Linked DNA regions of Zea mays. The protein of the gene in region 2 interacts with the protein of the main gene of each other region in a pairwise test. Links are inferred from orthologs where the notes say so. Each region holds a gene or a part of one and is shown on either strand. Other genes may lie near its edges.

Region 1 (8,407 bases), on a different chromosome or scaffold from region 2:
CCGAGTGCCATGCACGACCCTCGGCGGCTCTGGCGCATTTGTCGGCCAGAGCGAAGAGTGTGGGGACAGTCTACATGTCATGTGTGGCCAACTTCTCCAACATTTTCTCATCACGTACTCCCTGTCGGAAGGCCATGATGATGGAAGCATCGGAAATGCGAGGTATAGTACCTCGCACCTTGGTGAAGCGGGAGATGAACGTCCGAATAGTCTCCCTGGGCTCCTGCCTCACCGCATGGAGGTGGGCCTCCACACCGTGCTGCTGGTAAGCACTAGCAAAGTTCACAATGAACCGCGCACAGAGCTCTTCCCAGGAGTAGATTGACCCTGGGGCGAGGTTCATGAGCCAGGTCCGGGCAGGTCCAAACAAGGCGACATGAAAATATGTCGCCATCACAACGATGTTTCCACCTGCTGCTGTGATAGCGGTGACGTACACCTGCAGGAACTCCGACGGGTTTGATGTTCCGTCGTACTTTTCCGGCAGGTGCGGCCAGAACTTGGGTGGCCATGACGCCGCGCAGAGATGATCCGCGAGAGCGGCGCAGCCCACGCCGGCCAAGGGGACACCCGCTTGGGACCTGCGGTGCTACCGCAGCAAAGTCTTGATCGAGGTTGTGACCCTCGATGTTTTGGCGGCGCTCGCGCGCCCTTTCCAAAGAGATTCGGGCGTCCTCTCCCGTGCGCCTGCGGTTGAGTTCGGCCCAGAGGTCGTTGGTCTGTGTGCCCTTACTGAGGGTGAGCGCACAGACGCCGACGCCTCATGTTGGCGTCGGGATGACCGTGACCTCGACCTGGTCGAGGTAGAATGCGCCATGCCGAGCAGTCGGTCGACGTCGTTCCGCCACTGCTTCATGGCCCCTAGTGAGGTCGTGGAACTTGGAGGGTGTCGCAACAACTCCCTGGCTGCTAACAACGCTCCCGAAGCCGCCCTCGACGGAGTCCGAGATGTCTATGCGGCTGTATGCTGCCGTGCAGCGTGCACAACAGCGGTGCCCGGCATTGGGCGGTTGGAAACCTGTGGCGTGGAAGAAATAGTTTCTTCCTCCACCAGGAAATCCGTGGAAGTCTCGGCGCGGTGCTCAACGATTTGCACCATCATGCCGAGCGAGGAAACAAGCAAAAACCTAATGCCTAGGCCCCTACCTGGCGCGCCAAATGTCGGAGAGGGAATTCTCCGGCCAGGTGGCGGAGTGCACCCGCCCTAAATCCTAAGATGAGGAAGGGGCTTAAGCGTTTTGCCTATCCTGCTAAGCGAACATCAAGCACATGAACACGCGAGAGTTTAGAGTGGTTCAGACCGCCGGAGCGTAACACCCTACTCCATTGTATGTTGGATTGCTGTGGAAGCTTGAGAATTGAGTGTCTAAGTTGGGCCTAAGTCTGTCCCAGCGAGCCTGTCTTGTAACGTTGCATGCCTCCCCTTTTATAGCTAAGGGGGGCATGCATAAAGGTACTGAGCCCCGACATGTGGGCCCAGGAACATAACAGACGTAGCACTTGGAGCCACAAATGTTCGCTGCTGGAGCAATCTTCTTGCGCCCTGACATTCGAGATCTGCGTAGTATCGGCGTGCAGGGGAAGCTTCTCGTATAAGGGATGATGAGCACAGTGCGCCGTGCGGCACCGGTGCACTGTTTGATAGTGGATTGGACAGGTGCGCCGTCTGCAGGGTGGCTCTGACGCCGCCTGCCAGCGGAGTGGACAAGACACAATAAATGCTGAGGGGGCACATCGCCAATGCAGAGTCCGCGCGGTCTAGGGGCCTTACGCCAGGCTCCGCCCGCTGGCTTATGTCACGGGCAACGAGCCACGTGGGCGCATCGGGTCTCCGCTTGAGCGGGGAGCGCATGCGCAGAGTAAAGCCCGGCCACGCGTCAGCACCGGACCCTTGCTCATGCCAGGGTTTCCCCTGTCCCAGGACCTTGTTGCGGCCCGGACCTTACTCGGAGGGATCTGGACCCCATCCAAGGGACCCGGCACGCTTACTCGGGAGTCCCGGGCCACAATCGGGGGTCCGGGTTGTGCGTACAGGGGTCCGGCGCTCCCTTGCGGAGGTCCGGCTCGACTGACACATCCTGGATGTATCATCTTTCCTTGCCATATGGTGCCCCTTGATCTGCCCATGTGGTGGGGACGAGCGTTGTTCACAGTGTGGCTAAGGAACGACGTACGAGTACCGCGTCTTCATACTGTAGTAAGAGGTACCCTGTTTCAGGGTACCGACACCGCCATTCTTCCTCCTCCCATCTATTTGTGTCGTCTCCTGGTTTCGTTTGCCTAGGGTTTGTTCTACTCCTCCCCGTATTCCCCATCGCTGCTCCCCTTTCTTGCCCCTCTTTGGAGCTTTGGTCTCTGCTGCTAGCCGTCGCCTTCCTCACTTGAGCACTAGATCTGTGCGATTTGGCTGGTTGTTCGCCTACAGTTCTTCTTCATTCGATTTGGCTGGTCACTGGTTGGGTTTGATTATGCCTTTTGTCTCCTCCCCATTTTCCATCTTGTTTCTTTTTAGCATGGCAAACACCGCTGAGAGGTCGGCCTTGAAATCTGCCTTTGCTGTTGATGAGACACGTAAAGCCTTAGTTGTTGCGGCAATGAATACACAAGGAGACGGCGCAAATGGACGGGAGGAGGAAGAACAGAGGCAGGGACAGGAAGGGAAGAGCATAGATCCTAACGGAGATCAGGCGGTGCCAAAACCAAATCTTTAATGTGCACTGGATTATGATGCTAATATTGTAATTGACGTGTTCGAGGTAGGGGTGACAATTTAACCCCCGAAACCCGACTGGATGCAGGTATTAGTGAAATTTTGATCCACGGATGCAACCTACACCTGGTCGAAGTTTCGCGGGTGTGGTTGATGATTTCTATTTAAACCCGCGGGTGACCCGCACCCGACTTAAAATTTGGTGTATTCATTATTTTGCGCAATAATTAAGATACAATAGTAATTATTTTTAATAAGTGACTTGACTAATGATTCATGAAGTGTTTTGTTGTTGCTCAACATGTGAAGGCTAAAATCTATAGATATAACTCAATTATTGTTGATATTTAATTGTTTGTAGTTAAAATATTACTTAAAAGGTACAATGATCTGAAACCCGATAAGTTTAGATACGAGTTTAAAATTACGTCCACAGGTATGATCGCAGACGGATTTAGATAGACTTTTGTGGTCACGGGTTTTGATACACCCGACACAGGTCCAATTCTCTCAAGCATGTGAGAAATTTGTGATTTTGTCACTCCCAATTTTGGTTGTCTGCTATTATGTCATCCTGTATCTATGACTGGTAGGACCATCTGTGTCTATGATTTGTGGGTCCGATGATATACTGGCGAAACCCATAAATCATAATGTCAAAATTGCCAATATCTCCAAGCCTGTCGATGCCAAATCTATACTATACTTAAAACACCAGTTTCAACGGTCGTCATGCGTCATTTTTTTACAAATAACCCCTCACAGCTATTTCAAATTAATTCGTTGCACGTCTATAGATGCGTAAAATGTTAAAAAATAGTGTAGGAGGTGGGGTTCGAACGCATGCCCTGATGGAAGAAGGGCGGGAGACACTAGGTGAAATTGTCTAACCAGTAGAACATCACGCTAAAATGTTTTTAATATTGAATATAAATTGTATATAGGTATATACGCTTTTTTGTAAAAATTAAAAATAATCGTGTCGGGCCGGTCCAGCACTACGGGCCGACTGAGACCACATTGGCGCAATAGACTACATGGTGTTTGAGGTTGCTGAATTAGATGGGGCAGCAATGATTGGTCACACTAACAGCAAAATGAAAGGTTATTTGTTAGTTTTAAACGTTAATAATTGCTACGAAGTAGCGTAATTTATATGAAGCGCATCCAGTTTTTATTAATGCCTGACTTTAGCAATCACTCCATATTTTGATCTATCTTTTTTATAAGTTTGACTTCACGGGACTTATTTTATAAACTTGATCTCGCAAACTTTCTCTTATTTGATCTCTGTATGATGGAATTATGTCATTTTATAATCTCTGTTCATTCAGTCAATCGTTGTGAACTATCTTTTAATCGCTCACTTAATTGGTTGTGTTGTACCAAGACATATTTGTATGTAGTAAACAATAACATCAGTTAGCCAAATCAAAAATATATTATACAGAGAGCGGAGACGATCGATAAAAAAATCTTGAATTTTTTTTGATGGATAGTTTATGTTGGTATTGTTGTAAGCCGTCGCAACGCACCGGCAACCGACTAGTATGAAAAAAAATATCACTTTCTTCTCTCTTCTTATTCAGTTCTGTTTCGTGCCAATCAGACGGCGGCCGCCTCCTCTCCCCCCGCTGCCGAGCTCACCCTTCCGCCTGCCGCCTGAACTTGTCTCGCCCGCGGCAGATCTGCTCCTTCCGCTCGCTGCACCGCAACCCGGATAGGAGACCGCGCGCGGTCGAGAACTACCTGGGGACCAACGTCCTCGACCAGCTCCGGTGCGGCCGGCACACAGCTCCACAGGTAGGTCTCCGTCACAGTGCCACGATATTCTCCCTCCGTCCCACGCCAACAGCTCGTCCTCTCCGTCTGCTTGATTCTGCTCTAGCCTCAGACCGGCCGTCGCTCTAAAAAGATCATTACGCACACAATCTGCTGGTACCTGTATGCTGCAATCCTACCCTGCCTTGTCTTTTTGCATCACCTAAGAATGCCCCCCCCCCCCCCCCCCCTCCCCCCCAACGGCCATCGCTGTTGTCCTACTTCGCCAGCGATGAGCACCGCCTGGTATTCGCTCCCCTTGCTGTGCGAAACCGTGTGCCCAAACCTTGACGTAACTCGTAGGTACGGCCTCTCCTTCTTCCCTTCCTGCTGTGTGAAACCGTGCGCCCAAACCCTAACATACTATTCGCAATCGGATCTGAATCTAATTACAAGTGTATATGCATGTATTATACCTACTAACCTCGATGACTTTGCCAAAATTATTGGGTGTAGATGTGTACACCCATGTCCTTTACTGGGCCCTCTCCTGTGGCCGGTTGCTGTTCCATGAAAGGAACACGGAAATTAATTAACTTAAATTCGAATCTCTGTGTGATGTGTGTTGATGCCTGAAAACTGAATCTTTATTATTGTCTTATTGGCCTGTGTTGATGCCAAAATGAATCTTGTGGACACCAGTCACACCACTGCACTATGTTGATGTTGAAAATAACAAATTAAACTGATAGACTAAACACGGCAGTTCAATGGTTCAAGTAGAATAATAGTGTCCTTGAATAATTGTTAGACAACATTACTGTTAGGTTCTTTGTGTTTTTTCACTTATCTTGCTGCTGACTTTTCTGTTTGTAGATTTGGACAGCGCAATTACTTAAGCTATTTGTATTCGGATCTGATCCAACCCTGGTGGTCAGCTGGACTCATCGCCCATGGAGCACACTAAGTCAGGCCCCAGCAGTTGGCCAGAACTGGCCGACGTGGTGCCGGTGCCGCAGGACGATGGGCCTAGCCCTGTGGTGTCCATCGCCTATCGAGATGACTTTCGTGAGGTCATGGATTACTTCCGCGCCCTCTACCTCACCGGTGAGCGAAGCCCTCGCGCTCTCCGCCTCACCGCCGAGGCCATCGAGCTCAACCCCGGCAACTACACTGTGAGAATTCCCTTCATCCTTTTTTCTTGGCATACTTCAATTTTTTATGGGGTTATTTGAAACTTAAAGTTTCTATGAACAAGTGAGAATGATTTTTAAGGTAAAATATACTACTTTTACTATGGAGGTTCAGCCATTTCGTTCCAATTTGACTTGAAACCAACTAACCAAGTGTTAGTGGTGAGCTTCAATGACTACAATGGAGACAATTTGTTATCCACTACTCGTCTTAGTCAGTTATGAGTATGCAACACTGCTACAGAAAGTAGAAAAAACAGCGGAGGTGGAGCCAGTTTTAGAAAGTTGGAATTTTCCATGTAAACTACCTAGTCTAGCCTGTAGCCTGTTGCAGTTTTAGAAAGATTGTCCTCTCATGTTAATGCTGCCTCTCATTCAATCATAAAGAATACTTTATCATCCTCCATGATTTTTATAGAAGGTAAAGGCATACTGCTTGGGCATAATTTTCTTCTTGTAATGCTTCATGCAGTATGCTACATAATTCTTGAACAGCACTGATGTTATGTAGTATCAGAGAATTACTTATTATGCTATTACCAGCTTATTACCATGTTGTTTTACTTTGTATCATGTATTTGTTTTTAGATCAGTCAATTCTTTTGATGGTAACTTTTTTGACAATACAGAATAATTATCTATTTGATAGGTCTGGCATTTCCGGCGCCTTATTCTGGAGTCACTAGATTTTGATTTACTAGAGGAGATGAAATTTGTCGAAAAAATTGCTGAATGCAATCCAAAAAATTACCAAATCTGGTGAGTTTCATTGTACATATATTTTTTCACATTTAGTAATTCACTGCATATCTTTTTTCACATTTAGTAATTCACAGAAACTAATTTATCTTTGGTGTCTGCAGATTTTGCATGAATGATTGGCAATATCTTGACTAAATATCTTCCATAGTTTTTTTAAACTTTGATCATCTTTTATCTTTGCTCTGGAAAAGTGGAAATCATGACTAACTGTTGATGGTCCAATTTTATTACCAGGCACCATAAGAGATGGCTTGCTGAGAAATTAGGACCTGGTATTGCAAACAAAGAGCATGAATTCACAATGAAGATACTTGCTATTGATGCAAAAAATTATCATGCTTGGTCTCATAGGCAGGTATGCGTACCCATTTTCTGTATTCTAAGTTTCCAAATTTGGGTACTAAGCTAAACTGAGTATCAGTAAAATCTTTCTTCTACTAACGGGATTGCTTAATTCAATTGTTATAGTGGGTTCTTCAAGCGTTGGGGGGATGGGAGACTGAATTAGAATACTGTGACCACTTACTTAAGGAAGACGTCTTCAATAATTCAGCTTGGAATCAGGTCATGCTCTATTATTTCCGCCTTAAAATTTTCTTGTTTTCCCATCATGTTTGAGAAAATTTTCCAGTTTTTATGCAGTTTAACTTGCATTGCTTCATTATTTTAGTTCGCAGATCATCCCATGTTAATTTCATACAATTAGTATGGATAACTGTATGCATTCTGATTTACTTCCTGTATTTTAAAGTCTACGGCATTATAGAAATTACAATCGCCTATGTAAACATTTTCTCTGTTATTTGTAAAAAAATGTATATAAGATCATGTCTATGTAACCAACATAGGTAGTACATATCTGTCAAAGCTGGGCAAAGTTGATTGTATGACTATTCTTGACATTCATATTGCCTGTTACATCCTGCTGTGTCCTGTGCTGCTTCCTAAGTGTTTTTTTTTCTGCTGACTGATAGGGATCAGCTATTAAGCTTGCACTGAAGTATCTTTAACTTTTTCTCCAACAGAGATACTTTGTTATAACAAGATCACCATTTCTTGGTGGCCTTGCGGCAATGCGTGATTCAGAAGTAGACTACACAATTGAAGCTATTCTAGCAAACGCTCAGAATGAAAGCCCCTGGAGGTACCTCAAGGGTCTATACAAGGGTGAGAATAACCTGCTAGTAGAGGACGAGCGCATCTCTGCTGTTTGTTTCAAGGTCCTGAAGAATGATTGGACTTGTGTATTTGCTTTGAGTTTGCTGCTCGATCTTCTCTGCACTGGTTTGCAGCCTTCAGATGAACTTAGGTCCACTCTTGAAACAATAAGGAGCTCCCATCCTGAAACCGCGGATGATGATCCTGCAGCCGCTGTTTGCTGTATCCTGCAGAAATGTGATCCCCTGCGGGTAAATTATTGGTCTTGGTTCAAGGACACTCTTTCTCAGATCTCATGACTTCACATGGGTTCACCCCTTGTCCGCGCTGGTCCGGGCTCTGTGAGATAGACATGTTTTAGATAGTTTCATTGGACACCCAAACAGAGCGGACAGAGTGTATGGCTGCTACCTTCTCCGTGACTGAAAGCAGTGCTTGTAACGATTTTGTTTAGTAAAATTTGTGAGTGTTACTGCTCCAAACAACACCTTATGCAACCATATTTGAATATTTCACATGTAAGCTTGAATCCAGGTGTGTTTGTTAATGTATTACAATTGCCATGGGAGCCTAAATGAGACCCATAATCACTTCCACTAGAGTCGGAAGACCGTGTCGAGCAGTTCACTCATATGGTCACTTAAAGCACTCTTCTGCACTGTAAATTGTAATATTCGCAGAGTTTTAAATATGGGTATGACGATGAGTACGCTGCTGAAAATAGTCTAACCATTTGCTTTGATTTTCAATGACTCTGGCATAACTTTTATCAGGACATATATCATTTAAAAGTAAATATAGTATAAGTGAATGTGATTTTTAT
Region 2 (8,407 bases):
TCGGGACACGACCATTACAAACATAATTCGGGACACGACCATTACAACAGAGAGATTTATCCAGGCAATCCACCTGACCAAACATACAAATACCCTGGTATAACACGACTAAGTTACCATCATTCGTGCAAATAACACAATCGTACACAACCTTAGCCAATTGTTCTTAGGTTCTAACATTAGATCACTCTTCTGAGAAGAACTCATAGGCTGTATGGTACTTATCTAGGACAACATTGTAGAGTGGATGGATTGGCTCCAGCAAATTAGAGTACGGTCCAAGCACATGCTGAGGTAATGGGCACGAACCAGTATCAGTCATGGCACTGTACTGGCTAACTGCGAGGCCACTGAGGCAGTAGCATGAATGATAGTGATCTCTGTTCTTTCCAGGCTTATCCCTCAAGCCTCCCTCTAGTACCTGAGTTACAGAAGCGATTGTAATCTTAACTTATCTGAGATCTCATTTCCTCAATAAATACTCCCTCCGTTCCAATTTATAGGTTGTTTCGGCATTTTTCGGCACATAACTTTTGCTATGTATGTAGACATTGTATATCTAGGTGCATATCAAAAGTTATGTAACCTAGAAAAGCTAAAACAACTTATAATTTCGGGATAGAGGGTGGTAACAACTATAATAAGACGGCATTGCAGAATTTCACATTCTAGTGATAAAACTCTGCATATGAAAATAATATTGTATTCAAAGTTACCTCACCTGAGAACAAAGTAGGATGTATTGTTGCAGGGCAATGTTATGGAAGAGTGGGCCAATTTGGTTGCTCTGTTGTATAAAATCAAATCCAAACTTCGCATAGTCCACAGCTTCAGGAGAACAAGCAAAACATTTGAGTATCATGACATAAATCAAGCCCCGCATAATTTGAAAATCAATACGTTAGTTCAGGTCAGGTCATGATCTTATGGGGGCATTATAAATTTGCACATCAAATGCACCAAAAGTATAAACAGTACGAGGAATGGCATTAGGTCGACAGTAAGCGGCAAGGTTTTAAAAATTGATAATCGGTACTGTTTGCTCACCCACCTACTAGAAAATATACAGCAAAACTGCCTTTTTTTAAGTTATCAGTTGATTGCTGCATTGCACGAGGAATAAAGAAGTTCCAATCAATTACAGTTTACATCTATCTACAAAAACTTCTTTCATATTTATCACAAACAAAAGTGGAGAAATAATTTTCAATCCATAAGAAAAAAAAATGGTCCTGATTCTTACCAGAGGAAGACTTTTTCGCGGTGCACCCATATGAACTGGTGCTGCAGGCATCCTCTCCTGATGGCCTTTTGCAGGAATACGAGGACTTCAATTGCTTATCAACAATCGTAATTAACTTTTGTGTGAAAGCAATGGCAGCTCCCTGGTCACACACTAGATTTCTGTAACATGGAGCACAACATGTGGCAAAGATAAAAGTAGACAGATGTTACAATTACCTGCCAAAAGGAGTAGCAACCATCAACCAATTTATTAGTTCGTCCTTGAAATCCGCATTCCACTCCTTGACGAAAAGCCACCCAGCCCTAAATGGTGAAGATGCCAGCAACAACGCCAAATATTGTAACAAAAACAATTGTTGCATCAGCCAAACACACAAGTATCTACTACTTGTCATGCACTTTCACCAAGGAGCTAAAAAATAACTTAATGATCTAATACACATAAACACATCATAATTATAGAAGTAAATTAAATAAACTAAGGGAGGAAGAGGTTATCTTACAATCAAACTAGGCAAGTCAACTTTCTCTGCCTCATTAAGCAGGATCAAAGCAGCCAATCCACAGAATGTATACCTTATGAATGCAACTTTGTTAATGTTCTTAACATATAAATTTCAAACTTCACAGAAATCCTTAGAAACATACCCACCATGTGCTTCAGCATAAGGCTCCCCAGCAATACCACCTTCATAAGTTTGACATCTGCAGTCATATAGTATATCAATTGAGCAACATTCTAGAAAAGAACTGTGACCAAGCAACAATTTTGCAACTGGAAAAAATTGAATGTATATAACACAAACAAAACCTTGCTATGTAGTCGCCTACACCTTTTGCCAGTTTAAAATCAAGAATATTCACAAGGCTGGCAACCTAAAGTCAACATCAGAAAATATCAAGTAACTGCAGAAAAATTGCAAAGGACCAAAAGAAACTCACCGATATAGCGGTGTAGGAAGCACGGACATCAATTTCGCCACCATCATGCATTCTAGGGCAAAGGAAAAAATGAGTGGCAGGCATCACCTCTGAAGGGCTACAACTGAGAAAGTGGTATCTGTACATTATCCACGCTGATAGGTTGCGTACCTGAAAGCACCTGATACATCTTTCATCTGCAGCATAAAATTGTACAGGTTGCCCCTGACCCACAAGGTAAACATAATTAACAAAATGACTCTTGTAGATCTTGTTTTAGAGCAACCATGAGATTTACCTATTGATTGATGACAATGCTCTTTCGCTCCCTATTGTCACAAGTGTATTTACAGCAGCATAAGTCGTAGCTAGGTGAGGCAACTGCAAAGGACGTGGACTTTGTATAAAAACAATCTATAATTTACCCTCTTGAATGACTCAAACTCAACATAAATGAACTCAAACAGACTTCATAAATCAATAACAAACAAGATTTCTGGTTCATAAGTAATGCTAATTGAATGAGAAGGCTAATTTAAAGCACCCAATAATTTAGCTTTGCTATCTAAAAAGATAGCCTTGAGTATACAAATCAAAAGCATAGTACCCACCACCACCGGCAGATATTTTGTTTGTTACATGGACATGCTAATATCAACTAAAAATGCTACAATTACAACCAGGTGAGCTAAAGAAGGATTTAATGTGAAACAACAAACATATATGTCCTCGGCGATTCATTGGACATATCCAAGGCTAATGCATGCACTACATAAATCGAAGATCTTATTTAGAAAAAAAATCAATGCTAATAGCAAAATCAAAGATATTATCTAGCTCAAAAGATTTTGGGATTGGAGCAACCTGTCCAGGTCCACCACTATATCCACCATCTTTATCCTGACATCGAGCTAAGAAGTCTATGATATCATTCTCAAGATCATCATCAAGTGCTTCATCCAGCAAAGCAAGTGGATGAACCATCCAGTAGCATAGCCAAGGGCGACTGAAACCAATTAAAAGCAATACCAGAACAAATATGCATTAGTGTCACAATCAAACAGGATATTGCAAAGATAACTTAACCATGCACAATCATTACTTGGCATCTAGAACATGAAAGGCTGGTCCCATATGCCTCAGCCCAGGCGTCAGATACTCGATATGCTGATCACGCCACAGCTCTAGCCTGCACAGAAAACAACTCGACAACAAAAGGCTGATGAGGAGACAGTGGACCCACACCCTAATATCAACTCACATTCAAGTGTTTGTGTCTAAGACGCTATCCAACAATACATAACTAGCAGTACTAAGCTTCTGTACGCACCAAATCAGAAACCCTGCACTGAACTATCTGGTGCCACGGGCAAAGTTATCAGAGGACTAGCTATTTTTCAAGCTACAGCGTATCAAATACTCCAATATCCAAACTAAATCCATGCGTTGAGACCCGCCAAGCACTGCCGGCTGTCGGCAGCCAGGGGATATACTCAAATAGAAGTGAGAAAACTAGCGTGTGCTTAGGGATGCTCACATGATGGATTTCGTGTTGGGCGCGGCCCCGAAGAGGGAGCGGTAGATGTCGCCAACCCTGGCCTCCACCTTCATCTGCTCCACCTGCGTCACCGTGAGCCTCGGTAGGTCGGGATCCGCCGCCGCTGCCGGGTCGTCTCCGGTGGGCGGCGTCGACTGCGGGGAGGGGTCCATGGACGCAGCGGCCTGGTGTGGAGTCGGAGGCGGAGCGCCGCCGCCTGGCTGCGCTCTCGAGTGCTGCGGCCTGCGGTTTCGGCAGTGCTGCCCTTGCTGTTGCGGCCTTGCGGGGTCCGGTTCTCGGCTGCTTCGGTGTTGTGGTGAGACGGGTGAGCGGAGCAATCTTACGATGCCGCGAGACGGGTGAGCCCAACCAATAATTTCATTGAGCCGGCCCAATCACACTGACCAGAGCTATGTTATCCAACCCGATACCACACCAAACCCACGACGGCACCGCAGCAACCCATTCCATAGCCACGCGAGTGACGCGACGCGACGCACGGCCTGCCTGAGGCAGCGCATCTGCTTGGCGGCCGGGAGCAGCCGCCGCTTCGCCTTCGTGAGGGTTTAAGCGACGAAGAGAAAGGGGAGGAAGCGAGCCCCCAGGGAGGTGCAGAGGGAGAGGGTGGGAGATGGCTGCAATGGTTGGAGCGCGTAGGGCGCTCTTGGCCGCTCGGTTCTCTCCTCGCGGCACCATCGCGGCGTCGGCCGCGCCAGCTCCCCTCTACCGGCCCATGGATTCGCCACTCAGGTACTGTGCCACTGCCTCGGTGCTGACTCGTTGATTCATATGACGCGATGCTATTCCTTGTTGCTAATCTTTTTGTTCTAGGCTAGAGTTTGGAGATCTTCTCAAGCGATTTGGTTCTCTGTAAATTGTTCCCAGTTGCTAAGAACAGAACAGAATATAACTTTTTAAAAACAAAAGGTAGCCAATTATTCTGGGAAGGAAATTTCTAGTCATTTTTGCCTGATTAGAACATGAATTATTCCTTGGACCTTGGCATAGACTCACAGTAATTCTAATTCGTGTTTCTGTTCACTAGGATGTTGCTTGTTACTTTTCAAAATGGAAAAAACACTTACCTGTTAGGAGTGACATTGCACCTGAAAATTTTCAATTCAGGGTCATCCTAAAAGCATGGTTCTTTTATCTTGCAGGCTTCCAGCTGAAAGAGTTTGTCTACAGTCTTGGGTTCCACATCGAGGGGCTGGTACCTTTGCATCTGAAAGGACTGATGAAGATTATCAGCGTGAGTGGGGACAAAACAAAGCAGGTAGCTACACTGACTCCCGTTGGAACGGCTCTAATCTCCAACTTCAGAGAGATGTCACTTCAGCTGGTTCCACAACAGGTACTCACAAAAATAAGGGTGTGGATGGTGTTGGTGGCAGTTCTGAGCAACATTACAGAAGTGGTGGATCATATGGCTTTCAAAACAATCATCAGCCATATACTGGTACAAGAGCGAATAATGAGAGATACAATGCATCACAACCTTATAGAGGTAGTGGTCCATACAGCCAGCAAGGCCTTGATGGACATTTTTCAAATGATCGTCAACAGTACAATGGCACAGAAGCTAATAGTACATATAGCTCTGGATACTACACCCAAAGTAAGCAGAAGATTTATGAAGGAGAGGGAGCTAATAATGGGCAGTATGGATATGGTCCTTCAGGACAACCATGTCCGAACCCAGTTGGAAATAGCCAGCGAGTTCAGAAACAGCAATATGTTGATCATAGATCTGGGGGAAGTTATCCAGATAGATCTGGGCATCATCCCTCTCAATATGTAAATCCAACTCATTCCCGTAAGGAGCATGTTGCAGGGTTTCAGCAAGGCAACAATAGTAATTTTGGATATAATGCTTCGCAGGCATATCAAAGCCCTTATTTCACTAGGCAGGCTGATACACATAGTACTTCTCAAGGATATTCCATGTACCTAAATACAGATGTGCAACGCCTCTCTCATGGAGTTCATCAAGAAAAACATTCACATGCACAATCTGCTGGATCATTTGGGAACCATGTAAATAGTGCACCTCATGAATATGGCAAATATCATCAGTCACTACAAGGCAACCCTTCAAATGTTGGATCGCCTTACGAAGTACCTAGTGAAGCTGGCAGCAAACACAAATGTACTGTTGAAGAACTGGAGAAGTTTTGTGATGATGGCAATGTAAAAGAAGCTCTGGAAGTTTTGGCTATGCTAAAGGAAAACAGAATTGTGCTACATGCTCCTCAGTACTTCAGATTGATGCAAGCATGTGGTGATGCAACTGCCCTTTCAGAAGCAAGATTAATACATAGTCAAATATCTGAATCATCACTTACTGTTGACACAGATTTTCAAAACAAAATTATGGAGATGTATGCTAGGTGTGGTTCTATGGAAGATGCAAAGAAGATTTTCAGTTCTATGGATCATCATAATTTGACTTCTTGGAACACTATGATCTCAGGTTTTGTGCACAATGTTCTTGGTGAAGAAGCAATAGATTTTTTTGAACGGTTTAAGCAGACAGGGGACAAGCCAGATCATGGCATGTTCAGACATGTTTTCTTGGCATGTGGAATTTTGGGATCTGTTAATGAAGGAATGTTGCATTTTGAATCCATGCAGAAAGATTTTGGCATACATCCCACTACAGAGCATTATGCAAGCATTGTTACTATGCTTGGACAGTCTGGCTACATTGTCGAGGCTTATGAATTCGTGGAACGGATGCCTGTGGAACCAAGCATTGAGGTATGGGAAAATTTGATGAACATGTGTCGACTTAATGGCTTTTTAGAGCTTGGAGATCGTTGTGCTCAGATCATAGAGTGCTTGGATTCTTCTAGGCTGAATGAACAGTCTAAAATGGGTCTGTTCCCTGTCGATGTGTCAGATCTTGCAAAGGAAAAGGAAAGGAAAAAGGCAAGTGTCGCCGAAGCTCGGAGCAAGGTCCATGAATACAGAGCTGGCGACCGATCTCACCCTGACACTCCTAAGATCTATGAAGAGCTGAGGTATTTGTTGGCTCACATGAAGGAAGCTGGGTATATTGCTGACACTCGATTTGTTCTTCACGATGTTGATCAAGAAACCAAAGAGGATGCTTTACTGGCTCACAGTGAGAGGCTGGCTATCAGTTACGGTCTTATAACAAGTGCTCCCCGCTCACCTATTCGGGTTATAAAGAATCTTCGATCCTGTGGGGATTGTCACACGGCTTTCAAGATAATCTCAAAACTTGTTGGACGTCAGATCATTGCAAGGGATGCAAAGAGGTTCCACCACTTCGAAAATGGTGTGTGTTCTTGCAAAGACTACTGGTAAACAAGATGAAAGAAAGTCCACATCTTGGTCAATTTTTATTGGCACAAGACCGCTATAGGTTGTTTATGTGCTGAAGGTAGGCTGATGCCTATCTAACATTTAGTTAGCTAATAGTTTCATGTGAGAGACATGCTGTATGATGTCGTCAGTGAGAAACAGCCAAACAGGTCCTAAGCAGCTCTGGTGTTCTATTTTGCAGCTCATACGTTAAGCCTGAGCTTTTACTTTAACAACTGTTGTCTCTGATTTGTTACTTGCCACCAAAATAAAACAGTAGAATGTAACTGGGTAGTGGTCCCTTGGCATGTAAACTTTGATTCAGCTGATTACAAAGCTTTCTGACTGCATTCTGGATCCATTGCTTATATAGCTAGCAGGAGCCTTTTCTTGTGCCTGTTTGGCTTCGGCTGTGGATTGGGCTTTTCGGTCACGCTCCGCCACTGCAGCTCAGACGTGTGGTGTTGAATGGTGGGGGTGGACAAAATAACCAATAGCCTATCTCCAAACCCAAATTACTTGAACTAAACCTAAAATATCTGATCATAATTTCAAATAATAATTATTAAAAAAATAAAATTTAATTTAAATAGTTAAGGTAATATTCCCTAAATACTATAACCATTTGAGATATTTGCTCTTCTATATTTCTAAATATAAAGACATGAGGGTGGCTAGAGGTGTGCATGGTTTGGCTTTTGACTTTAGCTTTTGCCTCCTAAAAGACAAAAGTTAAATCAAAGGGCTGGATTTAGAAGCATTTTTTTAAAAGTCGACTTTCTCGAAAACTTTAAAGCACCTTTAGACCTGTTTTTAGCGGCTTTCGGATGAAACTGTGAAAATATATATAAAAAAACTTTTAGCGGCTTTTAGTGGTTTCCACCAAACGAGTTTTAGCTTTTTAACGACTCACAGTCTACAACAGCTTTTTTTACAGCTCACAATAGCTTTTTTTCACAGCCCAACCAAACAACCCTAGGTTTAGTGTAAATTTATTGTTTGGTATGACTAAATGTAGATCTATACTAACTTGATGACTGGGTTGTTGTTAATTGATGCGAAGGCATGATTTGATTATCATTGTTTATTGCTTTAAAATGCAAGTATATTTTTTAAAAACTATTGTTTTGATAATTTAAGGTATATCGGATAATAGTTCCCTGAACTTGAATTATCGGGTACCAAAATTTCAGATGGTTTTTTCCTGATCAAAATCAATAACAATTTCTAATATCTAAATATTAAATTACTCAAATTATCTGATTCAAAATTATAGGGCAATCGATTGCCCACACGAATGCACGAGGTGGTGGTACACATAAATCACGAGGGCATAGAATCTGTTTTAGTCCACAGAGCATCTCCAGCGCCTTA

The links.
Region 1: the proteins of Protein farnesyltransferase subunit beta-like (region 2) and protein farnesyltransferase/geranylgeranyltransferase type I alphasubunit interact in binary tests that used the Arabidopsis thaliana proteins (3 or more experiments, as listed by UniProt). The link is inferred for Zea mays from reciprocal best matches to the Arabidopsis thaliana genes ERA1 and FTA.

The regions. Positions count from the first base shown.
Region 1 is NC_050097.1:199,353,940-199,362,346, forward strand, and holds protein farnesyltransferase/geranylgeranyltransferase type I alphasubunit, read left to right. Parts: upstream 1-4,329; 5' UTR 4,330-4,513; exon of another isoform or gene 4,514-4,834; intron 4,835-5,347; 5' UTR 5,348-5,424; coding exon 5,425-5,646; intron 5,647-6,313; coding exon 6,314-6,423; intron 6,424-6,660; coding exon 6,661-6,781; intron 6,782-6,894; coding exon 6,895-6,990; intron 6,991-7,451; coding exon 7,452-7,883; 3' UTR 7,884-8,179; downstream 8,180-8,407. UniProt on the Arabidopsis thaliana protein: Essential subunit of both the farnesyltransferase and the geranylgeranyltransferase complex.
Region 2 is NC_050098.1:205,213,401-205,221,807, reverse strand, and holds the start of Protein farnesyltransferase subunit beta-like, read right to left. Parts: upstream 3,938-8,407; 5' UTR 3,877-3,937; coding exon 3,704-3,876; exon of another isoform or gene 3,500-3,703; intron 3,371-3,499; coding exon of another isoform or gene 3,356-3,370; coding exon 3,269-3,355; intron 3,173-3,268; coding exon 3,031-3,172; intron 2,548-3,030; coding exon 2,465-2,547; intron 2,392-2,464; coding exon 2,338-2,391; intron 2,240-2,337; coding exon 2,188-2,239; intron 2,122-2,187; coding exon 2,057-2,121; intron 1,951-2,056; coding exon 1,894-1,950; intron 1,822-1,893; coding exon 1,749-1,821; intron 1,549-1,748; coding exon 1,462-1,548; intron 1,386-1,461; coding exon 1,244-1,385; intron 829-1,243; coding exon 722-828; intron 422-721; coding exon 185-421; 3' UTR 1-184. Other genes in the region: pentatricopeptide repeat-containing protein At4g32450, mitochondrial, read left to right, coding at 4,335-4,453, 4,864-7,036. UniProt on the Arabidopsis thaliana protein: Catalyzes the transfer of a farnesyl moiety from farnesyl diphosphate to a cysteine at the fourth position from the C-terminus of several proteins having the C-terminal sequence Cys-aliphatic-aliphatic-X (CaaX).